3 linked regions of the Oryzias latipes genome follow. Each later gene encodes a partner of the first gene's protein in a complex. Links are inferred from orthologs where the notes say so. Each region holds a gene or a part of one and is shown in the gene's direction. Other genes may lie near its edges.

Region 1 (4,300 bases):
TCATCCCTACATGTTGATAATAGCCCTGCAGCATCATGCATGTTAACATGTGTACTATTAAAAAAAAAACCTGTGTTTTATTAATGAAGCCCCTGCAGCATTAAAAGAAAAAAATTATAGTACCTACCTGTGAAATGTTCTGCCTTCCTCCTTCATGGACTCATTTCTCTGATTCTGGGAGTTGAAACCCGCACAATGAACTGGCATTTTGCAAAAAATGTGTTCACATGCATGCAGTGCTGCAGTGACTTGACCTCACCAAGATGGCGGTGCTCTCCTCCTATGTGGAACCCCGTGATGTCTCCTCTAGCGATAGAACTCAATGGTCTCAACCCCTTCCTTCTCATGTTCCCAAATAGGAAGTACCATTGCTACCTGATACAGTGGCCACTATGTTGTAACCAGTCGACAGTCCGAGTCGCTCTGAGTCATTGTATCTATGGCAACCACTGTCACCATTGCCATAGATACGATGACTCGGAGAGAATCGGACCAACCACTGTCGACTGGTTTCAACATGGCGGCGCTCGTATCAGGTAGCAATGGTGAGGGATGTGGCCTCCTTTCGTGAGAGCCGGAGGTACGGCTTTTCCTATGGGTGATGTCACAACGCCATTCGTCCAATGCTTTTACAGTCTGTGGTTCACCTTCATCCCAGACGCCTTTCCCCGCATGCAGCCGACTGGTCTCGTTGACGATCCAGGCGAGGCGCTGGTTTATCCCAAACACGACCTTTTGTCTAGCCGGCTTTCAAGTGGAAGGGGCGTGGCCTTCCAACAGGCTAAATTTTAAGTGGTTGCTATAGAAACATTGACTCAGATTGACTTGGACCTACTGTTTACTGACGATGTCTGGTTCCAACATGGCAGTATCTGTATCACGCAAAAATGTCAACTGTATTGACAATTTTTTAAAACTTTTTAACTGTTATTGCCAAAGAAAACGCTGGACACACAAAAAGGACGAAAATGAAAACGTAAAACAGCAGCTGTTGCAAAAAAGTATTTTTAAAATTTGGTAACTATGACGGTATTCAGTTTACAAACACAAACAGGTTTCACTTTAAAGCCGTAAATTTACGGAAAAAAAATTGTAACGTAAATTAGGGTTAGTATATTTTATTCAAATGTAGCCTACGTTTGTTCTCAAAATGTACACTGTGACTCTTGAGGAACATTGAACATTTAAGTGGCCTAGAATGTGACATTTCTTTTCTGTTTGTGTTTTTAACAAGTCATGAAAACACGAAGCATCAAAGTGTTGGTTCAGATTTCACACAGAAGCTCTTCTGGATTTTCCCTGTGTTTGGTTTTCTGTTCAAAATCCTTTTAAAGAAGATAAAAAGTAAAAATATATCAAAAATTAAAGCCATGGAAAATGTTACACGTGACACTCCCGCAGAGAATGATAAAGGTGTGCTGCTCTTCTCGTCCAGATAGTCGTGTTGGTTGTCATTATTGGTAACGCCGCCAGGGGGCGACGTGTCTACCGGAAGTTCTTTGGTTAGTGACACAAGCATTCCTTTTCCGGTGCAATTCCAGGGCGCCTGAAAACACGAGAGTCCCCCTTTCCTCTTTTCGTCTGAAGCTAAGTACCTCTTGTCGGACTTACTGGGGCCGTGTGGCTGACAGAAATGGTCAGTTGTGGCTTTTCTGAAGCTTTGTTGTGTTTCGGCCATGTTTGCTTTGTATTTGGCCTCTGGTTAGCTTAGCTCCGCAGTTAGCCGGTGTCGTGCTTGCTAGCAGCACTCATGCTGTCGGTGAGGCTGAGAAAGAATAGAAATCATTTTTATTTCTTTAGAATGTTTTTATTTTAGGCCAAAATCGGAGGTTTACGCGCTGTAACTGATGATTTTGTACAATTTTAAAAAACTAAAAGATTATAAACTACAAAAAGCACCAATAAATCAAACAATTTACCCTAAACTGCAATAATTAGACCAAATGTCATGAACTATTAAATATCAATACAAGTTCAGCCAAAATCTCAGAAACTGAACCAATTAATAGTTTTTATTAGAAAAATAAGGGTTTCTTGGATTTGTTTTTACTGAAGACCACATTATATCTCCCTGTTGATGACGTCATAGTTAGATTCTGGGACTGAAGGACTTAAATATGTTCATGGGTCTGAAAACAAACAAAGGGATGTGACTGTTTTCCTGCAGGCTGGTTGATCAGCTGGCAATTGTTTTTGATTGGTTACTAAAGATATGAAGGTTAACCTTTGTGGTGCTGCTGTGCAGACTGTCTAACGCTCAAACTAAAGGTTTTGTGACGTTTCCTGGCAGAAACCCATCCTGCTGCAGGGCCACGAGAGGTCCATCACTCAAATCAAGTACAACAGAGAGGGCGACCTGCTCTTCTCTGTAGCTAAAGACACGGTGAGCCCTCACCCCCCGCCACCCCCCCCATCTCCAGGTGTTTCGGACTCACTGACTTGTGTCCCTGCAGGTTGCAAATGCGTGGTACTCCGTAAACGGCGAGAGGCTCGGCACGTACAACGGACACACGGGGGCGGTATGGTGCGTGGACTGCGACTGTATCCTTCCTCCTGTGAGGATGAATGGTGTGCATGCTAACTCCTGAGGCCGCGGGCAGTTTCTTAACACGCCTTCTCAGGGGACACGAAGAACGTTCTAACAGGATCAGCAGACAACAGCTGCCGGCTGTGGGACTGCGAGACCGGTCCGTAAAATCCAAATGGGTCTGTGGTGTGAGCCAGTTCTATGAGCTCACATTCAAACAGAACCGTGTCTCCTGCTCACAGGTAAACAGCTGGCGCTGCTCAACACCAGCTCTGCCGTCAGGACATGTGGGTTCGACTTCAGCGGGAACATCATCATGTTCTCTACTGACAAGCAGATGGGTTACCAGTGCTACCTGAACTTCTTTGACCTGAGGGACCCACAGCAGATAGGTATGTGAAGTTAGCAGGAGCCTGGAGTTTGACGTCCCCGTTAGTTTGCTGCGTCTTCATCCCCCTCCACAGTGAAGCTGGATGTTCAGCTTCTGAAAAGCTGCTAGGAAAGTAATGAATCATGACTGAAGCATTCTGTCTGCAGAGGACAACAACCCGTACTTGTCCGTACCCTGCAACGAATCGAAGATAACCAGCGCGGTGTGGGGGCCGCTGGGCGAATTTGTCATCGCTGGCCATGAGAACGGCGAGATCAGCCAGTTCAGCGCTAAGGTTAGAGCCTTCAGACCTGTGTGTGGATTCTTTCTGAAGTGAAACTGGTTCATGTGCCGTTTCCCTGTGAGCAGTCTGGAGAGGCCCTGAAGAAGGTCAAGGAGCACACCAAACAGATCAATGACATCCAGTCCTCGGTGGATCTGACCATGGTCATCACCGCCTCCAAGGATAACTCTGCCAAAGTAACGACCGCTCCGCTGCTGAAGTGACTGTTCTGAGGAATCTCAAATCAACTCTGAATGTTTGTTTCTTTTAGCTGTTTGACTCCACCTCTCTAGAAAACATCAAAACCTTCAGGACAGAGAGGCCGGTCAACTCTGCTGCCATCTCCCCCATCAAAGACCACGTAAGAACCCCTCCTCCAAGTTTGAAAGAGATCAGGTGGATGCAGGTCAGTGACGCACATTTCCTCTCAGGTTGTGATGGGAGGAGGACAGGAAGCCATGGACGTTACCACCACCTCCACCAGGATCGGCAAGTTTGAGGCCAGGTGAGTCTGAGCCGAACGTCAGTCAGTCGTGAAGCCACAAACGCACCTTCAGCAGGAAGAGTTGATCCACATTAGCGTGGTCTCCATCAGAACGGAGAGAAACGTTTTCAGCCTGGAAGAACCCAACATCCAAGAGCTGGGGTTCTCACAGTTTTTGTAGCGGAGGGCCAAACCACGACACCGCAACTCCTGCTGCTTCATCACTGCGGTGATGAAAAGTCCCACACCGTCACAGCTCTATTCCAAACAGTACATGTGACGCGGCAACAATATAGTAGTAACAGCACTAACAGGGCTGGTTAAAAAAAACATACCAGTAAAAGTCACTGAGAGCAGCAGTAAATACTGAAACCATGGAAGTCTTCCTCCTCAGTGTGGGATTGGAATAGCGTCAGATATTCTTCACCACTCTCTCTCTCCTTCATTGTCATCAGTGTCACTCTGAGGTAAATTGTCTCCTGTTCTTGCTCTGTCCTCTCCGTCACGCAGCAGACCGGCTTTTCCAAACCCGTTGGTGATGGTGGATTTTTTCACACTGCTTTTAACTTGAAAGCTGTGTCATCTGCATTTCTTCTTGCATTTTCCATGATGAGTCTGTTCCTGCTATTCATTCAC
Region 2 (4,065 bases), on another chromosome or scaffold:
AAAAGATTCAGACGACAGAATGCAGGAATAAGAAGCCCTTTATGTCTTTACAGCTGAACCCTTCTCTCTCTCTCTGGCTTGCAATAGCTTATGATGCTTTTCTATTGTTGAATCTATGTTTTTATACAGTTTTGTGTCCATTGTTTTAATGTCTCTTGTTCTATTACACTTTAGTTGGGTTTTTGATTGACAGGGAAAGTACTGCTTTGGTGGCTTTTGTCAAAAAAAATACTTTCTATCTGACTGGAAGAGTAAATTATAGGTTTTATCTGCAATAACAGTTTATATACACTCTTTAATATTTTTGCCTTCCATATGTTGAACTTTGACACTCACATGTTATGCATCAAATCGTTTTTCTTTTTCTGTTCATACCTGTCTAAAATAAACTGTTTCTGTGTTATGAAGCTGTTTGTGCAATCATTTCTTACTTGTTATTAGATGTTCAGGTAAAAGTTTTTCATAATTAATATATTATGTGTTTCTAAAATAGTTGAATCAGTGATTAAAAGAATAAATAAATTCCATCTGAACAAAACAAACTTGCTTCAAATCCCTCTCTTTTTGTCATATAGATTTTGTAAGTAAGTGAATAAATAATTATTTCATTTACACAATTTCTAGTGTGGTCTGAATTGATTTTAGGTTGATAAATTCAACTTATTTTATCAAATTGTTAAATGAAATATGATGTGGTTCTGCTACAACTATCTCAAAAATGTATGTCAAATTCTAAACTTATTGCCTGATGGCTAAACCTATTTGGTAGGAAAAAAATGTGAAACAATGCACGATTGCACAAATCTATCAACTTGAAGAAAACCCAAAACGAATCCAAACTTTAGATAACAAATAATAATCCAGTTTGATTCTTGTCAGAGTTGCCCAACAGAGCTTTAAGGTGTATAAAAGACTACACGCTTCTGAAGTCTTTTGTTTAAATGCCAATCATCTGTTCATTGTCTTTTTTTAATAAATTATTCTTTATGTAGCTTTTATTAAATTTCAACACTTTATAAAAATGTATATAAACGCATAGGAAAATGTCAAATTATCGAATAGAAATCTGTTTTTAATTAGAAAAATCAGAGAACTACAATCACCAGACAATAACTGATCAGATTCAGATGGCAATTAAAAAAAACAGATTATAATCCGATTTGTGCCATGCATGTAGCGAAAAAGTTTTTTCTTTTATTATTATTATTATTATTATTATTATTATTATTATTATTATTATTATTATTATTATTATTATGCTATTATTTTGAAGTTTAAGTTCCGGAAGCGACCTGCTCTCGGCGCGGCTCGGTCCTTCTCGAGCTAAGCTAACACGCAGGATGCCGTCGGTGGAGTACGACGAGTGAGTGTCATTTAGATTTTCCATCAGTGTTTATATGTCACAAATGTCTTTTTTACTGGTTTAATGTTGATTATCTTCTCTGTATTTTAGCTCTAAGCCCAGCTGGGCCGACCAAGTCGAGGAGGAAGTAGATGAAAGTAAGAAAGAAAGCTGTTAGCATTGAAGCTAATTTATGGTAACACTGCTTGGTTCAAGGAGGCCGGCTAACCCGGCTTCATGTCCACGTGTTCGTCTGCTTTTTAAAATAAATATATCCAGGGAAAAACGTTGCGTATACACGTGTTAAAATTGTTTTTATTTTAAAAGAAATAGGTTTTAGAGAAATGTCATGTTGGACGGTTGTTGGCGCAAATTTTCTGTTGTCAAAATAGCATCGATGTGGCTAACATAAAAGCTTGCAGCTAACAAGCTCCGTTAGGTTAGGAGACGGTAACTGCTCTCAAATTAATTATTTTGCAGTATGTCAAATATTCAAAATATTCGTGTTTGGCTCGCATTTAATTCATGTCCGTCCCGAGACTTTTGGCAAATCCCGTTAAAAATTGGGACAGTTGTGTGTAGTGAATTCAACATGTAATTCAATGTAATTTAATGATAAAATGTAGTTGGAACATCTGTACACAAATTATAGATACAAAATATTTGTAATTAATTATGTTAAACGCGCAATACAACTTATTAACAATATTTTGATAAAAGTAGCCCATTCATCCAAATATTATTGTGCCCTCTACTTGTTAGGTTTTAAATTAATAAATCATTATAAACGCATACAAAATTTACTTCTGTTGTTTTCATAAAACATGTTAGCATCACCACAACCCAAAAACAAAAACCGCAATACAAAGATTCGTTACAAATTAACATATTACTTATTAGCTGCTTTGTGAACTAATTTTTTTGTTTAGACCCAGTTGAAAAAATTAAATGACCTAAAATATCTTCTAAGAATTTTTAGGCTGTAATTCATTTGTCTACTTGTTTTTGTGTCATTGACAGCCACACTTCCCTCCCCAAAGGAGACGATTAGAGGTAATATCAAAACTATCACAGAGTATAAAATCGACGAGGAAGATGGAAAGAAATATAAGGTAAACAGCATGTCCACAGTGGTTAAAGTGATGACCTGCTTCAACTGAATTATTTCATGGATTCTTTTTCAATCTCTGTAGATTGTACGGACTTTTAAGATTGAGACGAGGAAAGCATCAAAAGCCGTTGCCAGGAGGAAGGTTTGTGGAGTTGTGTTTAAACTGGGATTACTTTTGTGGGATTGGTTGTTGTGCAACAGTGAGTTTACTCTTTTCAGAACTGGAAAAAGTTTGGCAACTCTGAGTTTGATGCTCCTGGCCCAAATGTTGCCACCACCACAGTCAGTGATGATGTCTTCATGACTTTCATCTCCAGCAAAGAGGTAATAACTTGCATTAAATATTATTTTCTGCTTAATTGTTGTGAACCAACTTTCCTTGTGGATTTACTAATTTTGCTTTTTGCAGGATTTGAATGCTCAAGACCAGGATGAGGATCCCATGAACAAGCTAAAGGGACAGAAGATTGTGTCCTGTCGTATTTGTAAAGGCGACCACTGGACCACCCGCTGTCCATACAAGGACACCCTGGGCCCCATGCAGAAAGAGCTGGCTGAGCAGCTTGGACTGTCTACCGGAGACAAGGAAAAGCCCGCTGGCGCCGGTAGCATTTGCTCTTTATTCTCAGAAACACTATTTGAGAATTTTTTTTTTCTAAACACCTCACCAGTGACTCCTGCTTCCTCTTACTTTCCTTAGCGGAACCAGAGCCTGCTCAGCCCGCCCAAAGCAAGACGGGGAAGTACGTTCCTCCAAGTCTGAGGGATGGAGGCCGGGGAAGAGGAGAGTCCATGCAGCCCAACCGCAGAGGTGAGGCTTCAGGGCAAAACATGTACAATTATTTTCAGCAGCAAAACTTTATCCCTTGAAATTGTATGTGATTGCACAGCTGATGACAATGCAACCATTCGTGTGACCAACCTGTCGGAGGACACCCGTGAGACGGACCTGCAGGAACTCTTCAGACCGTTTGGCTCCATCTCAAGGATTTATCTGGCCAAGGATAAGAATACAGGGCAGTCCAAGGTTAGAGGCCATTTCAAAAAAAGCAGTACAGATCAGTTATGAAGGCTTGTTTCAACTGAAAATAGGTTACTTTAACCCAATCATGGTTCTGTTTGTAATCACAACTATTAACCCTAACTTATATAAGCCAAAAAGATCTTTTTGGTGAGAGCTGCCTTCTGTCTGCATCTGATATTAATATGTCGATAGACAGTTGATGTGTGCTCTCATGAGCGAATGACGCGCTCCAGTTAACGCTGCATCTCATTTCCTGCAGGGGTTTGCCTTCATCAGTTTCCATCGTCGGGAGGATGCCGCCAGAGCCATCGCGGGGGTCTCAGGATTTGGATATGACCATCTTATTCTTAATGTTGAATGGGCCAAGTAAGCTTCTTCTCCCATTCAAGTATTTGTGTTAAAACATTGCTTTAAAACTGGTGCTAACATTGTTTATTCTCTTTACAGGCCTTCAAACAACTGAGTTCAAACGGATTTCTAGAAAGATGCCAGATTCTATTGTGGTAAAATGTGGCTATTGCTTCAATAAAGAGAATGAATTCAGAAATATCGTTGCAGTTTTATTAATTTTAAGGTTTTTTGATTGAT
Region 3 (4,147 bases), on another chromosome or scaffold:
TGGTTGAATGACAGTTTTTTTTTGTGACTATTTAAATTTTTTGGCTCTCTTTTCATTCTTTTAGTTTTATTGTTTTGTTTTCCTGTTTCTCTTTATTTATTGCGCTCATCTTCCGCCGTTTTTCGGCAGTTAACCCCTTCTACAATTTTCAACTATTTTTAACCATTCAACTATTAAAATGTTCAGCTCTTTCAGCTTATTCCTGCTATGGCTTTTGGTTTTTCAAATCCTTCAACTTTTCAAGATATTCCAGGATTTTCAAGGATTTATCTCCATTGAAATACACAGGGAAGTGTTGGTGCATGAGGTCGCTGGTTCAAGACCCCGTTCGGACGTTTCAAATTTTTTAGTTTAACTTAATTTCTTCCGTTTTGAGAAAAAAGCTTTCGTTGTAGAAGGATTTAAAAAGAAAAGAAGGAAATATTACTGAAAGAAGGTGTTTGATAGTTTTGCATCTTTTCAGACTTCTCTTTATTTTGATGTGGCCAACATGTTGCGTCTTATTCTTAACACAATTTTTAAAAGTTAGATTTATATTTTTTCCCTTCTAAATGTAACCAAAAACACTAAAAGACAGTTTTAGAAAACAAAATTATGTCTGAGAGAAAAAAAAAACCTTTTCATGTAACTAAACTGAAAGGTTGAATGACAAGTTTTTCAGTTTTTCTTCTTTGTTTTCTAGAAATGTAGAGATTAAAACAACACAAAATGAATACACAGATGAAGTGGCTGACATCTCACAAAGGTCTATTTTCAGAGCAGTGTTTACAGTCACAACGCTTCAACAGCAAAGCCAAGAGGGTGGAACTTTTATTTTATTTTTTATGCATTACTCATCTCCTCTCTGAAAGGCCTTTGAGGCCAGACTAAATGTTCTCTGCAAAAGACAAGGTCATCAAGGCCAAAGAAACTCAATTTTTTGGAACCTGAAGGTCTGTCTTGGCTCCATCTGCACAGTAGTGTGAGTTGCTGCTTATTGAGAAGCACCATATCTATAATGGACCTAAATGTGTATTGTTTCAAAGAGTGGGGAAGTCAGTCAAAAAATATATTTTATAAAAAAAGGTTTCCTTTTCCAAAATGCAGCAAATAACAACCTTACAGAATCCATAAAATGCACAAAACTTTTTAGATTCTCAAAATTGAATACACTGGTAGTTTCAAAGTGGCAGTAATGAAATACAAATCTTTTTTATGATTTGTTTAAGGGTTGGAAGTAATGCCATCAATTTAAAAGAAACTTTTGATTTGTCTCCCTCAAGTAGAAAATCAGACCAGAAAAAAAGTCAAACTTGTGTACGGACTTTTATTTTGGTAAACCCGGTTCTCTCGCATTTACTCAGTTCATGCTTCCGGTCCGACCTCTTTTCCCTTCCGGCTTGGGTCTTTTTCTCTTTTAGCGGTGCACGTGCAAAGATACATCTGTTTTTTACCTGAAAGTATTTTGTTAAACATCTGGAGAGATGGCTTCGTCGTTCGAGCAGATGAGGGCGACAGTAGGGAGACTCTTACGGGGGATCGACAGGTATGAATCCAACGAGAGAGAAGAGGAAAACGGGCGCGAGGGCTAGCTTAGCTTCTTGTTTGCTAACGTTTGAGAGACTCGTCGAAATTAAAAACTTTCAATTAATTTCTTTAAATTGAAGTTGTTTTATCAATGTCATTTGCGTAAAAAAATGTTTTACATTTATTTTTTAAATGTAAATGCCATAATAGATTGGCTTTACTTTCAGGATCTTGACCGGAACCAAATACTTAAGTTAATTATTAATAGACCCTAATTTAGAGGTAAAGTTACTCTTAATAATCATAAAGAAACTGAACATCAGAAAGTATTAAGTGCAGAAACAGATTCATTTAGGTAAATTAATTATGCTATGGATGCATTAAGATGATCATATCGATCTGTATGTTGTTGCTTTGTGATGACTGATCAACTTAGACAGATGTGAGTTGTCTTTTAAATAATGTCCGTACAGATAAACTAAAGGTCTGATTTGAAATATAATAATGCAATTTAATTCCACCATAATAATAAAAAAATCAATAGCATTAATATTTTTTAATGTAATACAGCTTTTAAATCATAAAAAGTTAATTTTTTTAGTTTTATTTTGAAACGGTTTTCTACCACTAAACTATTAAAAAAATAATGAACTGGTGAATCAAAAATGTAGAACCCGCTGGGCCTTAAACTAAGTTTGATTTCTGTTTTGATGCTGTGAAGGTCTCTTTGTTTGGGGGATTTAACCCCTTTTTATTGCACATCTGTGGGCTGACTTTCTCGTAAAAATGCATGAAAAACATCCCAGAGGACCAACGTTCCTTACAGTAGCAGCAGTTATGGCTTGTAAACTCCCAGCTTCTGTGCATCTTCACAGGTACAACCCAGAAAACCTCGTCACACTGGAGCAGTACGTGGACACGCAGGCCAGGGAGAACGCCTACGACCTGGAGGCCAACCTGGCCGTGCTGAAGCTGTAAGCTGCCGCTGCGTTCGGGTCGGTGCGACGCTCGGGTTTCCCGTCGTGAGATGACAGATTCCCCTTTGAACCCGCAGGTACCAGTTCAACCCAGCTTACTTCCAGACTCCGGTGACCGCGCAGATTCTGCTCAAGGCGCTCACCAACCTGCCGCACACAGACTTCACTCTCTGCAAGTGCATGATCGACCAGACACACGTATCCTTTTGTTGCTCTTCAGTCTGAGATCAGACCAGCTTCTGCTTCGTTATCTTCTAAGGTTTTTAGTGTTTCTGTCAGTTTAAAGTCCCACTCCGATCATCTTCTGATCTATTCTCAAAGCGTTCCCAGTGGTTTTTTTAATTATGATTATAACTTTTTCAGCCAAAATAAAAAAAACACTGTTGTTTTCTTCTGGCATAGTTTCTGTTTATGATCTTCAACAAACGGCATTTTTCCTGATTCACGACGATTTAAAGAAAGAAATACTCAGAAATGCAGTTTTGAGCTTCATTTTCTTATTATTCGTCGTCAGAAAAACATGTTAGAAACATTGGAGTGGGTCTTTGTGGTGGAGAGTCTTCTGGTGGACACCAGGAACTCCATTTTCATTGGAGGGGGTCTGTAGTACCAATATAACAATCAGAGTCAACCCCGTTACTGTTGTTAACTTTGGCCACTTTTTTTTTTCAAATGTGAATAAAAGCTGAGGTTTTTCTTTTAGCTTTTTAACAGCGAGGTCTCATTTCTGGAGAATAACTAGCTGGTTGGTTAAAAGTGAATAATTCTTAGGTTGACCTGGGATGGGGGGGAGTGTTTCCTTGACTACAGTGTCGCAGCAAGAGGAGCGCCCCATCAGGCAGATCCTCTACCTGGGGAACCTGCTGGAGACCTGCCACTTCCAGAGCTTTTGGGTGCGGTGCAGATCGTGTTCTCGGATCAGATCTCCAGACTTTGGAGTCTGTGAAGAAATGAAACTTTTCTCTGGCTCTTCTCTCCTGTCAGACGAGTCTGGAGGAGAACCGGGAGCTCATTGACGGCATCGCCGGTTTCGAGGACTCCGTTCGCAAGTGTGAGTATCGCCTTACAGGAGACGACGACGGCTCTGACCCGAAGGAGACACGTCTCTGAGCGTCTTCCTCCTCCTCTGCAGTCATCTGCCATGTGGTGGGCATCACCTACCAGACCATTGACCACCGGTTACTGGCTGAGATGCTGGGAGACCCGCTGGGTAAGAACCGATCCACCAGATCCGCCGGTTGATCCGCCGTTGGCGACGGTCGGAGGTGTTGAAGCTGCTTCCGCTTCCTGCTGCAGACACGCAGGTGAAGGTGTGGATGAACAAATACGGCTGGACGGAGAACGAGGACGGGCAGATCTTCATCTACAACCAGGAGGAGAGCATCAAGCCCAAGAACATTGTGGAGAAGATCGACTTTGAGAGTAAGTCCAGCTTTTATTTCTGGAGATCTCCGCCGAGACGAAGCAGAACCTTCCAGGTTTCACGTGTTTCGTCTCCCGTCTGAAGAAGTTCTCCTGCTGTTTGTTTTGTCTGCAGGTGTTTCCAGCATCATGGCCACATCTCAGTGAGAAAAACAGCTTAATAAAAGTAAATTATCACCAAAAACCGATGGATTTGTCTGGTTTTAATGTGCACTTTTTGCTGTTTCATGTTTATTGATGTG

The links. The genes of interacting proteins can lie anywhere in the genome.
Region 2: eif3i (region 1) and eif3g share a complex: the UniProt entries of both Homo sapiens proteins name them as parts of the eukaryotic translation initiation factor 3 (eIF-3) complex. The link is inferred for Oryzias latipes from reciprocal best matches to the Homo sapiens genes EIF3I and EIF3G.
Region 3: eif3i (region 1) and eif3k share a complex: the UniProt entries of both Homo sapiens proteins name them as parts of the eukaryotic translation initiation factor 3 (eIF-3) complex. The link is inferred for Oryzias latipes from reciprocal best matches to the Homo sapiens genes EIF3I and EIF3K.

What each region holds. Positions count from the first base shown.
Region 1 is NC_019869.2:26,646,286-26,650,585, forward strand, and holds the start of eif3i (eukaryotic translation initiation factor 3 subunit I), read left to right. Parts: upstream 1-1,495; 5' UTR 1,496-1,633; coding exon 1,634-1,636; intron 1,637-2,290; coding exon 2,291-2,383; intron 2,384-2,453; coding exon 2,454-2,541; intron 2,542-2,621; coding exon 2,622-2,687; intron 2,688-2,769; coding exon 2,770-2,919; intron 2,920-3,064; coding exon 3,065-3,192; intron 3,193-3,266; coding exon 3,267-3,377; intron 3,378-3,451; coding exon 3,452-3,541; intron 3,542-3,611; coding exon 3,612-3,685; intron 3,686-4,300. UniProt on the Homo sapiens protein: Component of the eukaryotic translation initiation factor 3 (eIF-3) complex, which is required for several steps in the initiation of protein synthesis.
Region 2 is NC_019866.2:8,456,727-8,460,791, reverse strand, and holds eif3g (eukaryotic translation initiation factor 3 subunit G), read left to right. Parts: upstream 1-1,264; 5' UTR 1,265-1,340; coding exon 1,341-1,363; intron 1,364-1,453; coding exon 1,454-1,500; intron 1,501-2,362; coding exon 2,363-2,454; intron 2,455-2,535; coding exon 2,536-2,595; intron 2,596-2,672; coding exon 2,673-2,777; intron 2,778-2,862; coding exon 2,863-3,058; intron 3,059-3,153; coding exon 3,154-3,264; intron 3,265-3,343; coding exon 3,344-3,480; intron 3,481-3,736; coding exon 3,737-3,843; intron 3,844-3,924; coding exon 3,925-3,940; 3' UTR 3,941-4,024; downstream 4,025-4,065. Other genes in the region: suppressor of SWI4 1 homolog, read left to right, coding at 1-31. UniProt on the Homo sapiens protein: RNA-binding component of the eukaryotic translation initiation factor 3 (eIF-3) complex, which is required for several steps in the initiation of protein synthesis.
Region 3 is NC_019871.2:2,896,867-2,901,013, reverse strand, and holds the start of eif3k (eukaryotic translation initiation factor 3 subunit K), read left to right. Parts: upstream 1-1,346; 5' UTR 1,347-1,463; coding exon 1,464-1,525; intron 1,526-2,381; coding exon 2,382-2,480; intron 2,481-2,560; coding exon 2,561-2,681; intron 2,682-3,298; coding exon 3,299-3,376; intron 3,377-3,467; coding exon 3,468-3,534; intron 3,535-3,615; coding exon 3,616-3,693; intron 3,694-3,779; coding exon 3,780-3,905; intron 3,906-4,020; coding exon 4,021-4,052; 3' UTR 4,053-4,071; exon of another isoform or gene 4,072-4,091; intron 4,092-4,147. UniProt on the Homo sapiens protein: Component of the eukaryotic translation initiation factor 3 (eIF-3) complex, which is required for several steps in the initiation of protein synthesis.